Alligator mississippiensis: one gene and its partner. The protein of the gene in region 1 binds, or shares a complex with, the protein of each later gene. Links are inferred from orthologs where the notes say so. Each region holds a gene or a part of one and is shown in the gene's direction. Other genes may lie near its edges.

Region 1 (6,873 bases):
TGAGAGATGCAAACACAACAGGTGTGTCCGCTGTCCCACGGCTAACGTGTTGTTTCCTTCTTTCTCCTGCATCTTTATTGACTCTTACATCTGATCTCCATCGACTGGAGGCCATCGGAGAATGGGGAGTTTCATGGCTATTGTAAGCCTGAGCTCATCCCCTGTTGGGGCACTGGTCTGCCATGCAGTGGAGGGAAGCACTGTTCCTACAGGAAGGTATGAGGCTGTGGAGTTACCTCCTCCTGCCTCTCTGGCTTTGTCCCCATGATTCTTTATTCCCAGTAATCCATGGATTGTAAACAGAGGTGGGAATAGGAGCTGCTGGGGTTGTGAGACCAGAGAGGGCCCAAGAACAGGCTAACCATTTATGAGATCCCTGGAAGCACGCCTCAGGTGAAAGGCATGACCTGAATTCCATTCAACAAAGGATTTCACCTGTGTGAAGCCCAATAACTTGGGTTTGTCTTCCAGAAAAGCATCCCACCCCAATCTGAAGATAAGAAACAAAGAACCCACTTTGTCCCGGAGGGTCCGCAACCTGTAAACTAGGATTTACAGCACATCAGGTCAGCCTTGGTGCATGTCCCCAAATGCACGTTAGTCTGGCTTGATGTGCATCAAGGTGCCACTTCTTAAGCAAGGCTTAATGCACATTAGCTTATTTGAATGCACAGGAAATAAAAAGCACAGGGCGCCTATACAGAGGCTGCTTCAATGCAGTGGAATTCCAGCACCTCAGAACAGACTTGATGAATCGAGTCTGGGCAGGGCCTGTTGCTGGAGCATGGCAACTGCTACACTTCAGCAGCACTGTACCTAGACTCCTGGCAGCTCTGGACGAACTTTCCCCCTTTGCAATAATAATTAAAAAATTACTGTTTTCAGGCCCCCTTTCTGTCCAGGCCCCAGGCGGCCACCCATTTTGCCCGAGCCCATAGGCAACTAGTAGGGCAAGCACAGGGGAGCACATGTCCCTGCTGCTGACACTGCCGGTGACTTCTGTGGGTGCTTGCCAGCTTTGTCCCTGCCACTGATGCCACTGGCAGCTTCTGCGGGTGCTCACCAGCTCCATCCCCGATGCTGATGCCGGCTCCTGCAGATGCTCGCCAGCTCCGTCCCCACCATCACCACCGCTGCCAGCTTCTGCAGGTGCTCCCCCAGACTTAGGAGGCACCAGTCGCCCATGTCCATGCCTGTGTCCAGCCCTGCACTCCAGCAGCCTCCTGCATCTCATGTATCAGTGTCCTGATGCTTAAAAATGGTGTTGGAACAAGCTTTAGTTCAAGCCCCCTTGACACTGTTTTTAAGCACAGGGATGCGATACAGAAGACACAGTAGCTATTGGAGCTGCTCTAATTAAAGTGCCATCTCCCCCACCAGAGCACATGTAAAGGTGACCACAGTTTTTATGTGATGCTTTATGTGCATTAAAATAGGCTAATGCACATTAAAGTGCACATGTAGGTGTAGATGTGCCCACTGAGTACCTTTTCTGGTCCTTCACAATTTGGGCCCGATCCAGTACACACCAAAGTCAAAGGAAAGACTCCTGGAGACATGGACAGCTCTTTCCTTTGAGACTAGCCAGAAACTGAGGAAGATATAATAGTCATCATGTGTCAAGGCCTGTGATGTTGAAACTAAAAATGGCAGGTACATTGTTCTACCAATAAAAAGCTCAGCCTATTTGGCATACCAAAAGGAGAATCTGCTGGCAGTCAGGATATTATGTTCAGGTTCACAATATGATCCCACCTGTGTCCCTGGGCTCTTCAGGCTTGGTCCCCACTCAGAGATACCTAAAGGCAGGGCAGGAATAAATCATGAACCAAGCAAGCCTGGGGCTGGTACCCAGCTCTTGGAGTCATCTGATGATGCTGGCAAAAGAGAAATAGACTGATAGGGCTCCCCGTATGGCTTCCAAAAATGAGAACCCCCCCAAAAGAATAGTTTCTAAAGCAGCAAGACCAGGCATGTCAGGCAAAAGTCCTTGGACTGTGTCTCTGCCAGAGAAGAGCAGGTTTGGATTCAAAGGACCCTAAAGCAGTGGTTCTCAACCTTTTTTGTACCAGGACCCATTTGTAAACATCAATGGCCAGTCTCTGCCCAGTGCCCTTCACTCCTGACCCACTTCCCCCTGCCCCCCAGTGTGTGGGGCAAGGGGTGTCTATGGAGCATGGGGAGCCCCAAACAGCCTGTTGCAGGCTGGAGCTCTGCCAGCCTGCAAGGGAAAAGGCACAGTTTCCTATGTTTTTCTCTTTTAAAGGAGAACCCATTTTTAAAGTTTGTTCGCAACCCTTTCAAATATTCTTTTGATCCACTTTTGGGTTGCGACCCATGGGTTGAGAAACACTGCCCTAAAGGACAATCTTTGTGCCCCACTTCTGAATTTTTCAAGCATGCTGGTCTAGGAACACTGTCTGCTCCTTTTCCCAATTGTACTTGTGTCTAGGCCTTTGGTCTTTTATTTGCTGGGAAGTTTCTTCCATCATTTCAAGCATCTGTGCATGCACCCTGAGAATCCCCCAGGCCAGGACTCTGTGGGGCACTTGCCTCTCTTCTTGTGGAACCCACCAGGTGCTACCAACACTCAGAGGAAACCAGCATATCCCACATGCATAATGCCAGAACTATTGAGCATTTTTACATGCGTTTCCACCCTGGCGCTGGGCGCTTTTAATTAGTGAGCCGTGCTAATTAAAAGCACCTGGTGCCACGTCAGGAGCACATGTATCAGCAGTGCAGCGTGCCTCTGCACTGAGAAAATAGCAGCAGTGCACTTTGAACTAAAGCACATTGAACGTGTTTTAATTCAAAGCGTACCGCCACCATTTTCTCAGCGCAGAGGCACGTTGCATGTGACACGCAAGGCTGCCAGAGCATGTCAATTTACATAAATTTGATCCAGCAGAGTTGATTAATTGAATCTATGCTGGCGTGCTGGATTTCCAGTGCATCGGAGCAGGCTCCTTGCACGTGTGTAAGTGCTCATTCTATCAGGCTACAGAGCATCTTGCAGGGCATGAACCTTTGGGCATAAATACACATGGGCGACTGGTGCCTCCTGAGTTGGGCGGGCACTTGCCCCCCCCTCCCCCCAGTGGCCAGTCAGCGACCTAAGTGGGGAATGCTGGCTGTGTGAGGGGTGCATGTGCACCCATTTGCGCCACTGTTTATACACATATTTTTCTGTCCCATGACCAGCTGGAGATCCACTGCTTCAGAGTCTGCTCTACAGGCGAGCTGAAGCAAACCGCGCTGCACCCTGTGCAGCTGTACAAGTGGTAAAATGTGCATCAGTGCACAGAAAATGGCAACGGAGAACTTTTGAACGAAAGCACCTCCAATGCGTTTAGTGCGCCACTGCCCTTTTCTCAGCGCTCACGCTCATTTTGCCACTTATACAACCTCAAGTGTTGCAGTGCTGGGCGCTTTTCAAAGTGCCCAGTGCTGCGGTGTTTGGATGTGTAAAATGCCCTTTGTGATTGGGGAATAATGGGAGACGAGGTTCTTTGGGTAAACACGATATTTTTTATTAGACCAACTAATGAATAAATATGAATTTATCAGGCCAACTAACGAACAATAAAATTTGTTTTTAATAATAATAAATGTTTTTCCCCCAGTTCATTGGGTAACAAAGCCACACAGGAGCCCCCTCCCCTGGCTGGCTGCCCGCACGGCAAGCCACCACGCTCCAAGCAGGACACCGGCCCCTTGCGGCAGTGAGGTCCGCGCCTGCGTCTGAGGAGCTGCTCAGAACTGCTGGCAAGAACGGAGAGTATGCGCGCATGCGCCAGCGCTGGGAGGCAGGGAAGGGCGTACGCTCCGTGCGGCTTGACGTTGCTACGCACGCACGCACGCACGTGAGGCGCCCAGTTCCCGGTCGGAGCGCGGAGGCCGCTGTCGGAGTGGCGACTATGTCGGGGGCGGCGGGCTCGGCGGGCTCGGCCCGCAAGCGGCTGATGAAGGAGGAAGACATGACCAAGGTGGAGTTCGAGACCAGCGAGGAGGTGGACGTCACGCCGACCTTCGACACCATGGGGCTGCGCGAGGACCTGCTGCGCGGCATCTACGCCTATGGTGCGCGGCTGGGGCAAGCCGGGGAGGGGGAGCAGAGGGCAGCGCGTGCCGGGCCGTGTGCGCACGCGCGGAGCTTCCCGGGCCCGCGCGCGCCCCGCTTCCGCCCTGCCGGGGAGCCGTCCTACCCCTGGCCCTAGCGATGTTTGACAACCCTTGATCCTCTCGGGTTATGGTGTATGCACGAGAGGTCGCCCAGAGGAGATTTGGGCTGGTCAGACCTTGCATCCCCCCCTTTAGGGCACTGAGACAGAATCCAAAGGTCAGACTGGGTTTAGGCGCTTGGTGCCTCTGTGACTGTATTTGTGTAAGCATCTGGGATTTGAACCCAGGTCTCCTGTATGGGTGATAAGGAGTCTATTACTGAACCACAGGGGCCTCCAACGGGAGGTGTAGGAAGACATCAAACAACATGGTGTCAAGTTTGTTCTTTCTAGAGAGCCCAATGTGGGGGAGCTATCCAAGAAGAGAGAAGAATGTGGACACAGTTTGCTGAGAGACAATGCAAGTTGCAATTCTAGGGTTTCTCTGGACATAGCAGCTAAATGATTGCAGTGCACTGCTATCCTGTGCACTTTTGTATCACTTTAAACTAGGCTAATATTGCTGCAGCTTGTTACATCTGCAGAAGTCAGCTGTGCTGAAGTGGGGCAGGTGCCCCTATGTACAAGTGTCCAGGCACCTTTGTACTGACCTAACCAAACTGGCTGAAAACCATCAAGTTAATGGAACAGTCCCTACGTCAGTGCTTCCCAAACTTTTTCTCAGCATGACCCCACTTATGACTCCATTTCCTCAGCATGGCCCCCCACTCCCAACCCAGATCCCTGTTTATTGCGACCCCATTTGCTGATGTTGCGACCGCATTTGGGGTCACGAACCACAGTTTGGGAACTGCTGCCCTACGTGCTTCTGAAAACCCACTTCTTACACTTGGCTTCACACATCAGCTTTCAAATTATTTGAAGCGCTACTTCTGTGCACCTGTGAGCAGGCATTTAAAAAGGTGTCTTATATTATTTCAAATGTTGCAGGTTTTGAGAAGCCATCGGCGATCCAACAGAGAGCAATCAAACAGATCATTAAAGGAAGAGATGTGATTGCACAGTAAGTGAAATTATGTGATTGAAGGAAGAAAATAATATAACATGTTTGTCTTTATAAAGTGGTAGAATGATGTACCCGTGATGATCCAGGAATTATGCAGGCGGCAAATTCTGATGAGAAGTGTCTTGTATTCAAAAGCTTGTCTAAATGTATTCCAACCATGCAGATGGGCCAATAAGATATCACCTACACAAAATCCTTGCCCCTCACATATCTTTATAAAGGTGCTCCACACAGGAAAGAATCAGTTGTTTATTTTTTTTAATATAAGTATTAAAGTATAACCAAGGAATAATATAACAGTTATGGATATGTTTTTTAGAACTCAGAGTTGCCTATTTTAACATTGTAGTTCAGTGATCTACAGCCTTTTTAAGGTGAAGATCACTCTTTGAAGTAAAGGGCAGTCCAGGATCTATTGTGCCCCACTCCCACCATCCTCCCACCCAGCAGGTCAGTCTGTAGGAGGAAGGGGGGTAGGGGGAGGCAGATCGAGGTCCCCACGGTGAGGGAGGGAGGGAGTGGGGCAGGAGGGAGTGGGGTTTCGGCTGGGCTGGGGAAGGGTTGGAGCATGGGTGGCTTGTCCAGGCACATAGTGGGGGTGTGCTGTTGCACTCGCCCCTATGGAGGCCCGGGGGTATGTGCCCCCCCCCGATCTGTGCACAGGGCGAGGTGGCTGCTGCTGCACACTGGGCTTTGTGCCCCAAGCTGCAGCAGGGCTCGGGGCACAAAGCCTAGCATGCAGCGGCTGCTGCCTCACCCTGCACACAGATCGTGGGAGCACATGCTCTCCGGGCCTCCATGGGGTGCATGCAGCAGAGGGAGACCCCCCGTGCGCCTGGATGAGCCACCCTGGGCTCTGACCCTCCCCCAGTACAGCCGGGGCTTCTGTCACCAGGTGGCAGGGGGTGCGGAGGAGGATTGTGTCACTCATCCAGCCTGGCCCCAATGACGGGGCATGGCTCAGCCCAGCCACATGCATCCTGCTGCTCCCCACGTGTGTCCCGCTCCTCCTTATTGCGGAGCCTCTGACAGTTGATCTTAGTCTGGGTGGGCTAGCAGCCACCCCCTCTTCCCCCCAGACTGAGATCAACTGTCAGGGACTTCCAGACCAACCAGTTGATTGCAATTGACTGTTTGGTGATCACTGTTATAGTTAATACATTTTTGGTAGTGTACACAAGCAGTCAGCAAGAAGATATATAGGATGCTTCACCACGGTGTTGTAAGGAATATGGCACAATAGTTAAATGCACTGTAAGTGTGAGAACTCATCCACATGTTAACTCCTGAAACTTGTTATAAATGCAAGCATTGGGGAAAGTAAGTGCAGTTGCATCCACAATATTAAATCCTTATTTTGATAAGCTCCCCACCCTGTTTTCAACTGTAGCTGACAAGCAGCTGAGATGGGCTTTGCAGTTGATCTTTTTTGTCAACCAGGCATATCTGGTGGCTTTAAGTTGAACTACATGAGGAGAAAAAGCTTGTTCTTCTCTCCTTGATAATGAGTCATTCATGGAGAAGTAGGGCTGGATGGGACCTCCAGAGGTCATCTAGTCCAACTCCGTGCCTGAGGCAGGATTATCTCTATCCAAACTATCCCATAGATTGATGGATTGAACACTCAACAGCTTTTTAAAAAATCTGCTTGTTTTTGTCTATAGGAGTTTATTGGCCCTGGGA
Region 2 (7,505 bases), on another chromosome or scaffold:
GATGGGGTGAGTGAGCAACGGATTCTTTGGATTTGAAAGACCATGTTCCCCCTACTCTTTTGCTGCACTTACCTGTCTGATTGAGAGTTGCAGTGGTACCTCTGCAGGGCGTGTGGCTGGGGGAAGGGTCCAGGGAGGAGTTTTAGTATAAGGGTGAAAATGTTAACTTTGTATTGAAGATGTTAGCAGGCCACAGAAGTTGACCCACTTGAATGATTCCTTTTGAGTGTTGTGTAAAGACAGTGATCTTCTTTTTCCTGCTTGGCACAAACAACTTGATAAACAATAGAGAAACACAAAAGGCATTGCTTTTTTTCTTCCCCCCACCTCCCCCAACCCCCCATATCTGGGGTATCATTATGCAATGTGGAAGAGAGGCTGAATCTGTAACTTAACACAGTTGCGTTTTTATACTGAAGTTGAGGCAGTCATGGAGTCTGGAAGAGAGGCTAAAACACCTTTAGAGGGGAAAATCTCTTGTGAGGTATGGGCTCTGGTGCTACAGAGGTTGCATAAATAGGGCTATACACTGCATCCTTTTTTTTTTCCTTTTAATAAGGCTGTTCTTGAGTGTCCTGCTTTTAGCATGATAGCATGTGTCCTCAATGGATTCCTGTGCAATTAGGAGCCAAAATGTAAAACAGGCAAATACTAGCTGGAGCCCTGCCCTGCCCTGTGTGCTGCCCCCCCCCTCCCCCTTTTCCTTGATGACGTCCATTTTTCAGGTCTGCATTGAGCAGGTTTTGTATTCTGGTTATACTTTGCCTTAGTGGCTTTTTTCAGGGGGCAAAACACCTTTTTGAATTCCAGTGACAGTCAGCTCTGATTTGCTAGTCTTGAACTGGCCTTACTTCCCAGTGCAAAGCCATTTTGAAACTCTTCATCATCATGCCATTTAGACAGGCAACCAGGCTTTGTAACAGTCCTTTTTACTAATATATTGGCTTTTCATCAGCAAAAGGGAGGGGTGGGGATGGGCCAGAAGTAGGCTTTGGGGTGGGGGAGTACAAAACAAAACTTGCAGTTGAGTGTTAGTGTGGAAAGATAGTCTTATTTCTCCCAATATGGGGTACAACACTGTGAAATTCAATCCTCAACAGAAAGCCCTGCAATTTCCCTCCTAGAACTATTCTTTGGTTTAAAACCTTGCTTTTTTTTTTAATTCAAGTTTTAAACTAGTGTCAGAAAACTTAAAAACCTTTTAAAAATTAAAATTAAAAGCTTGTCTTTACTCTTCAGCCTTGTTTTATGGCCATTTGACACATGGTTGTCTGTTGTAATGCATACTTTTGATACCATTTCTAATGTGTAAAATGGTTGTCTTGTAAATATCTTATAAAAAGTTCAATTTGTAAATAAAAACTATTGTGGCTGTTAATTTTTTTTTGAATTTCTGCTTCAGTTTGTTAGATTTAACAGTGTTAATGGGGAGTATTAAACAATTCTGCTTGTATGTTTAAAGAATTGAAACCAATTTTTTTACAATAAAATAGAAAAAATATAAATCTGGTGATTGCCTTTTTCTTCATGTATATAATTCAAGACTTGTTACAGAAGCAAAGACATTTCTGAAGCTTGTAACACTATTCCCAAAGCGGCAAACATGCATGAGGCAGACAGCTGTACTTTTCTATTGGGGGTGAGAAGGTATCTTAACCTAGCATGTGTTGAAAGGCAGATTGTCTCAAACCCTTATTTTGGCTTGCTATTTTTCTTGCCTTTTGTGTAGGGAGAAAAATTAAGAACATTTCTAAAATTAGTCTGCAGTCCACAACCAGTTTTCTTTAAAAGACAACAAATATTTAAGAAACAGAAAATGTTTCCTGAAACTGTTTTTATTTCAGTTTAACTTCCAAGCTTTCCTGGGGCCTGCTTTGTCTCTAACCACTGTTATCTAGATGGTTTGTCAATGTATGCCTGCATATCCTAGCATATTGTTTCACATACAATTTATCAAGCCTATGACATGCATTCTTTTTTCTTCTTTTACACAGTTTAAGCAAGGGACATGTGAAAAGGCAGAGAGATGCTGCTGCTGGTTGATAACAGCTGTTCAGGGGCTGCTCTTCCTGCACTTAAATGCTGAATGTGGCAAGAGATAAAGACCTATTGTTGAAGAGGTGGAGGATTACCTGGATTTACGAGGAGGGAAACAAGTGTGTTCAGAAGATAATGTCACAGGAACAGTGTCATCAGTGTGGCTTGTTTGGAGTTACCCTGGCACCTAAACTATAGCTTCACTATACCTGTTCAGGCCTCTCTTTACTGGAGACTGAGGAAGATAGCTACCATGGCCCCCACTACTGGCCCAAAGTTGCCATGTCTGTGGGAACTGCAGGTACTCTTTTTCTGGCTGAAAATTATAGGCCAGGAAAGCAAAAAAATGAGTAGTAATATTCTAGGCAACTGTTGATCTTCTAGATCATGGTGTTTGCATAAGAGATCTAGTTAGGTGTGTGATGAATCTACTTGTGCCCAATTTGAGAACAACACAGCTTGTTACAAGTTTCACAGATCCACGTGTTGTCTGAGTTAGAGTCCAGGTTTATAGCACACTGCGTCCTTTCTTGCTTTGCTTCCATCCTCTGGATCAAAGTGACTTTATGTTGTGCTGCACCCAGTGCCAGATGTTCCCTCGAGATTGGACAGGATTCTGCACGCTTCTCCCAGCTTTCTGCATTAACGTTGAATGACTTCATAGCATTTTTGCACACCGGGTACTGCCATAGAGGGCAACCCTGCTTTCTAGAGCCATCTTGAATCTCACAGTACAAAATATTCCTGGGGATATAGTCTCCTCCCATTCTCCTGACATGGCTGACTCATCGCAACCTTCTCTTCTTGATAGTGGTTTCTAAGTGTGTCAGTCCTATGCACTCCAGCACCTCTGTGTTTGGTATTTTGTCTTCCCACTTTATTTTCAGGATCTTATGTAAGCATCTCATATGGAAACTGTTCAGTCTCTTGATGTGCCTAGCATATGTAGTCTGTTTCTGAACCATAAAGCAGAGATGACAAGTATGCAAGCCTTGTAGATTCGCAGCTTCACCTTAGATGACATTTTGCTGTTACTCCACACACATTTCTGTAATAGGCCAAAATTCTTAGCTGCTTTTCTGATTCTGTTCAGTCTGAAGGTCAAAATTCCTGTTGGTTGTAGAACCCAAGTAACAAAAGCTGTCGATGACGCCAAGAGATTTACCCCCCAGAGTTATATTAGGTATTAATTCTTCCCCGGCTTTGGTACATGACGATAGGTTTTGTGAGACTAATTGTCTCAACCTGAAGCTCCTGCATGACTCAGAAAATCTGCCCAAGAGATTTTTGCAGGGAAGATTCACTGTAGGCAACCAAGGCTGCATCATCCACAAACAGGAAATCTCTTAAGAAATAGCTCTTTCACCTTGGTTTTTGCTCTACACCTTACATGTTGAACAAGCCTCTAGTCTGGTTCAAAGATAAATGTCATCATCACTGTCCTTGAATGCATGAAGAAACAGGAATGAAAAGTAGATGTTAAAGAACATGGGGGCTAAAACAGCCATTTCACCCTGTTGTTGACGTCAAAGGTGTGTGATTCTGTTTTCATACGCTACAGTTGCCTTCATACCTTGATGTAAAGAACAAATGATGTTCAACAGCTTAGGGGAACAACCTAGTTTCTTCAGAACAGTAAAAAGGCCCTGTCTGTTGACTGTTATCGAAGACCTTTGTTGGGGAGATGAAAGCTATGTACAGTGGTAGTTGTTTTTCTCTACACGTGTCCTGCAGTTGCTTGACTGAAAATATTGTTATCAATGGTGGAGTGAAAACTGCACTGACTTTCAGGTTATTATTTCACCTAGAGACAGCAGTTTGGGTACCATAATGTCAGTGACTTTTCTGAGGATGTTCAACAGGGAAATACCTCTGTAATTGTGACAGCTGCTTCTATCTCCCTTGTTTTTGTTTAACTGCAAACTGAGCAGCCTTGAAATCTTGCGGTAATAATACATTATAATTACAACCTAGAAAGTCACCGAGGAACTGATATGGGAAATATTTCTGGTAGAATGAACCCCCAGAAAGATTTTTCCCAGCAAGAACAGGGGTGTGCCTGTGCCACTACTGGGGGGGTGGCTGGGTGCCCCCCCCGTGTTTGCTGAGCGGGAGCCAAGAACCAGGGACCCCTGTTAGGAGACAAGTCCTCCCGGGGACAGCGAAGTAGGCTGATGACGTCATTCAGCTGGAGTGTGATGGCATCATACCCCGCCTCTTCCTGAGCCCCTGATGTAAAAGGCCACGTGGGCACGTCGGGGCGGGTTTCCGGTTTCTCCCTATTGCGGGGGTGACCAGAGTCTGGCCGCAAAGGGCCCTGGGATAGCGTAGGCCGGAAGCCGTTGAGCTGCAGTTTCCAAGCCTCGTCCCCTTCCCCGCGCAGGCGCAGGAGGGGGGGGGCGTGGTCGCGGTGCACGCCGGGAGCGGGAGTCCGCGGGCCTACCCGTCTGCCCCCGCGCGCGCCCGCGGCGCCAGGCAGGCTGCCCGCAAGATGGCGGACAGGCGGCGGCAGCGCGCCTCGCAGGACAGCGAGGACGACTCCGACTCGGCGGCGTCCGACAGCGCCGACTCGGCGGGCAGCGCCGCCCGCTCCGCCTCCCCCTGCCCGCTGCACCGCGCCGCCCCCGGCCCTAGCCCCGGCCCCGGGCCCGGCCCCCCCGCGGCCCGCACCCGGGGGGCCGACAGCGCGGCCGGCGCCGCCAACAGCCCGCCCGAGTCCGAGTGTGTGAGTGAGGCGGCGGGGGGGTGGTCACCGCGGGGGGACTCGGAGCTGTCGGGGGCGCTGAGCCGAGCACGGCATCGCCGCAGGCGTCAAGATGGTGCCAGCCCCGACCCCGCCTAGGCAGGGGGCCCAGACCAGGCCTGCACGTCCCTGCTAGCCGACAGCAAGCTCGAATCAGCCCCCACTGTCCCACGGGAAGAGGTGTTCTTCTTCATGCCTCTTGAGTTGAGCAGGTTTATTTTGCAGCAGACCCCAGCCCTTTGCAGACGAGCCCCTTGGCATTGAGCCATAGAAAACTCTTCCTGGAAGGGACCTTGGGAGACATCTAGTCCAGCCCCCTGCTCAGAGCAGGACCAGCCCCACCTAGATCATCCCAGCCAAGGCTTTGTCTACCCAGATCTTTAAAAGCCTTGGGTTGGTGTCTTCTCTTCTTCCGTCTGGCATCAATGTGCAGATCCATTAGCGGCTGTCTGGTGTTATCACTCGATGTGCAGATTCCATTTACCCATCTGAGAATTTATAAAGATTGTAACTTTCGGTTAAGTGCTGTGCTGGTTGTTGGATACTTCCTTCACACAGGGTGTTTTTTTTTCCTAGTGTTGCACCCTGGGTCTTATGCAGCGTTTAGATGATGGTTTGGATAGGGGTGATCCTGCCTCAGGCAGGGTGTGGGAGGAGATCAGCATTTCTCAAACAAACTGCAAAAAAGGACTCTCCTTTAAAGGAGAAAAACGTGGGAAACAGTGGCTTTTCCTTTGCAGGGTGGCAGAGGTCTGGGCTGCTTGGGGTCCCCCATGCCCCACACATTGGGGGGGGTAGCAGGCAGTGGGTGCGGAGTGAGGGGCACTGTTTTGGGACTGACCATCAATGTTTACAAATCAGTCCTGGTGCAAAGACGGTTGAGAACCACTGGACTAAATGACCTCTGGCGATCCCTTCCAGCCTTACTTTTCTATTACCATGAATGAATATGTACCTGGAAAATATCCAGATTAATAGTTTGCCCCAGAACAGTGTGGTTTATTCAAATTAAATCATTGTCCCACCTCTTTTTTGATGGGAGTCAGATCTCAGACTAATCAGTCCCAGATTAAATTGATGTATGGCTTGAATGGTGATTAACTCAATTAGCCCCGGGTGACCTCAGGAAAAAATACCACCTCAATTCTTCACAGGTACTTAGGGTGGAATGATGGTCCTGTAGGATCCCAGAGTAAAAGGCTTTGTTCTAGGGGAAATCCAAAGTGTTTTTATCTTAAGATTTGTGTCTAGCATTTGCTGTGGTATGCTCCAGACTGTCTGCAGGCACCAAAGAAATGACTAAACCCTGGTTATTAAACAGGTAGGGAGGAACTAACAGGTCACAGGAGCCCAGTGACCCTTTTTGCATATCTCCATTATAGCAGATTATGGTCAGAATAATTATTGGGCTAACTAGAAAGTAGAGCTACAGATGATCCTTTTTTTAGTCACACCCTTACTGCTGTGGCAACAAGAATCTGTATGTGCAAGTTGCTCAGGAGGTGGCCTGGGGCTGGCCTTCTAATTTAATAACTTCAGCTTGATTAGGTTACTGCTGTTTTAACATTCTGTAGCAAGTGAGTAAGTCTTCATCAGAGCATCAAGACAATAGATCAGATGCTAAATATATTGCTTAACCCTTAATTCATGATTTAAAAATTGTGAAACAGTTGGGACTGGTGGGATTGATTTGGTCAGAAATCAATGCCAAACAAAATAGCATTGAAATTAAATCTTGTGACTTCAAAGCCCCTGTCAGCCCCATGAATCCCAAGTTGTTTGATAGGTTTCAGGGGCCACGAGGCTTAGCTATAAACACCTCTTCTGCCTTTCTTGAGCTTTCAGTGGACCTGCTAGTTCTTCTGGCTTTTTGCTTTTGACACACTTGCCGTTTCTTATTTGTGATTGTGGTATCTTTTCCTGGCTGAGGCCAGTGGTAAAATAGGTAGGGGTGGGGCTTGTGCTTCTCTTCCCCTTTTCCAGTAGAATGTGATGGGCTCCTTTGGGATGGTGCTATGCTCCGACCTCTCCAGGCCAGCTGTCCTTCCTGTGCAACTGAGAGCCTTGTACTACCACTGCACTTTGCTAGTCCACCGCATTTTAATAGTTCTTGTTTCAAGTATCTCTTCTGTTGTCAGGGCTGCTGATGTGCCTGGTTTTTACTTCATTATGCAGGCAGTTTTTATTTTCAGTACAAACCTATTTTTATTTAATTCCATAGTCTGATACTCTTTCTTCCCTGCACTTTGCCTCTGGTCTGAATTTCTCCAGTTCTGTCCCTTCCTGTGCTAGATGCAAAGTTACACTTCTATTATTGACCTCTGCAGCAGAGGTGTCTCTCAGCTGCATGCTTCTCTGTATCAGTTGGCTTTTCCACAGCTCCCAGTTTTTAAATAATCCTCCATATCATTTTCTGAACAGGTGGTCTATATTGATTAAGGGAGTCCATCCTTTCTGTCTGTAGAGGCAAATTCCTCCTCTTTACAGAATTTTTTTTAATGTATTGGGGAGTTGAAGCTCCCTTAGTGTTGTAAGTGTTTGGGGGATTAATACTGTACAGTCATAGATTTATGTGTTTTTCTTACTGATCTGAATTTAGCTTTCTGTATACCTTTCTTATGCCTCCCTTTTCGAAGGTGCTGACCTGTACCATGAGCACAAGTTTCTCTCTACCACTAGCTGGATATTTACCTAGTTGTCTTGCAGGATCATGTCCAATAAGCAA

The links.
Region 2: the proteins of EIF4A3 (region 1) and CASC3 are in contact, whole or in part, in a crystal structure (PDB 2J0U), measured with the Homo sapiens proteins. The link is inferred for Alligator mississippiensis from reciprocal best matches to the Homo sapiens genes EIF4A3 and CASC3. Residues at the interface, in NP_055555.1 of Homo sapiens: Thr178, Arg179, Lys198, Ile201, Tyr202, Tyr205, Arg206, Tyr207, Leu208, Pro209, Pro210, Thr212, Lys231, Phe232; in NP_031385.2 of Homo sapiens: Arg217, Trp218, Glu219, His220, Asp221, Lys222, Phe223, Glu225.

What each region holds. Positions count from the first base shown.
Region 1 is NC_081824.1:234,479,394-234,486,266, forward strand, and holds the start of EIF4A3 (eukaryotic initiation factor 4A-III), read left to right. Parts: upstream 1-3,852; 5' UTR 3,853-3,920; coding exon 3,921-4,083; intron 4,084-5,114; coding exon 5,115-5,187; intron 5,188-6,873. UniProt on the Homo sapiens protein: ATP-dependent RNA helicase. Involved in pre-mRNA splicing as component of the spliceosome. Core component of the splicing-dependent multiprotein exon junction complex (EJC) deposited at splice junctions on mRNAs.
Region 2 is NC_081827.1:164,600,499-164,608,003, reverse strand, and holds the start of CASC3 (protein CASC3), read left to right. Parts: upstream 1-4,504; 5' UTR 4,505-4,528; coding exon 4,529-4,762; intron 4,763-7,505. UniProt on the Homo sapiens protein: Required for pre-mRNA splicing as component of the spliceosome. Core component of the splicing-dependent multiprotein exon junction complex (EJC) deposited at splice junctions on mRNAs.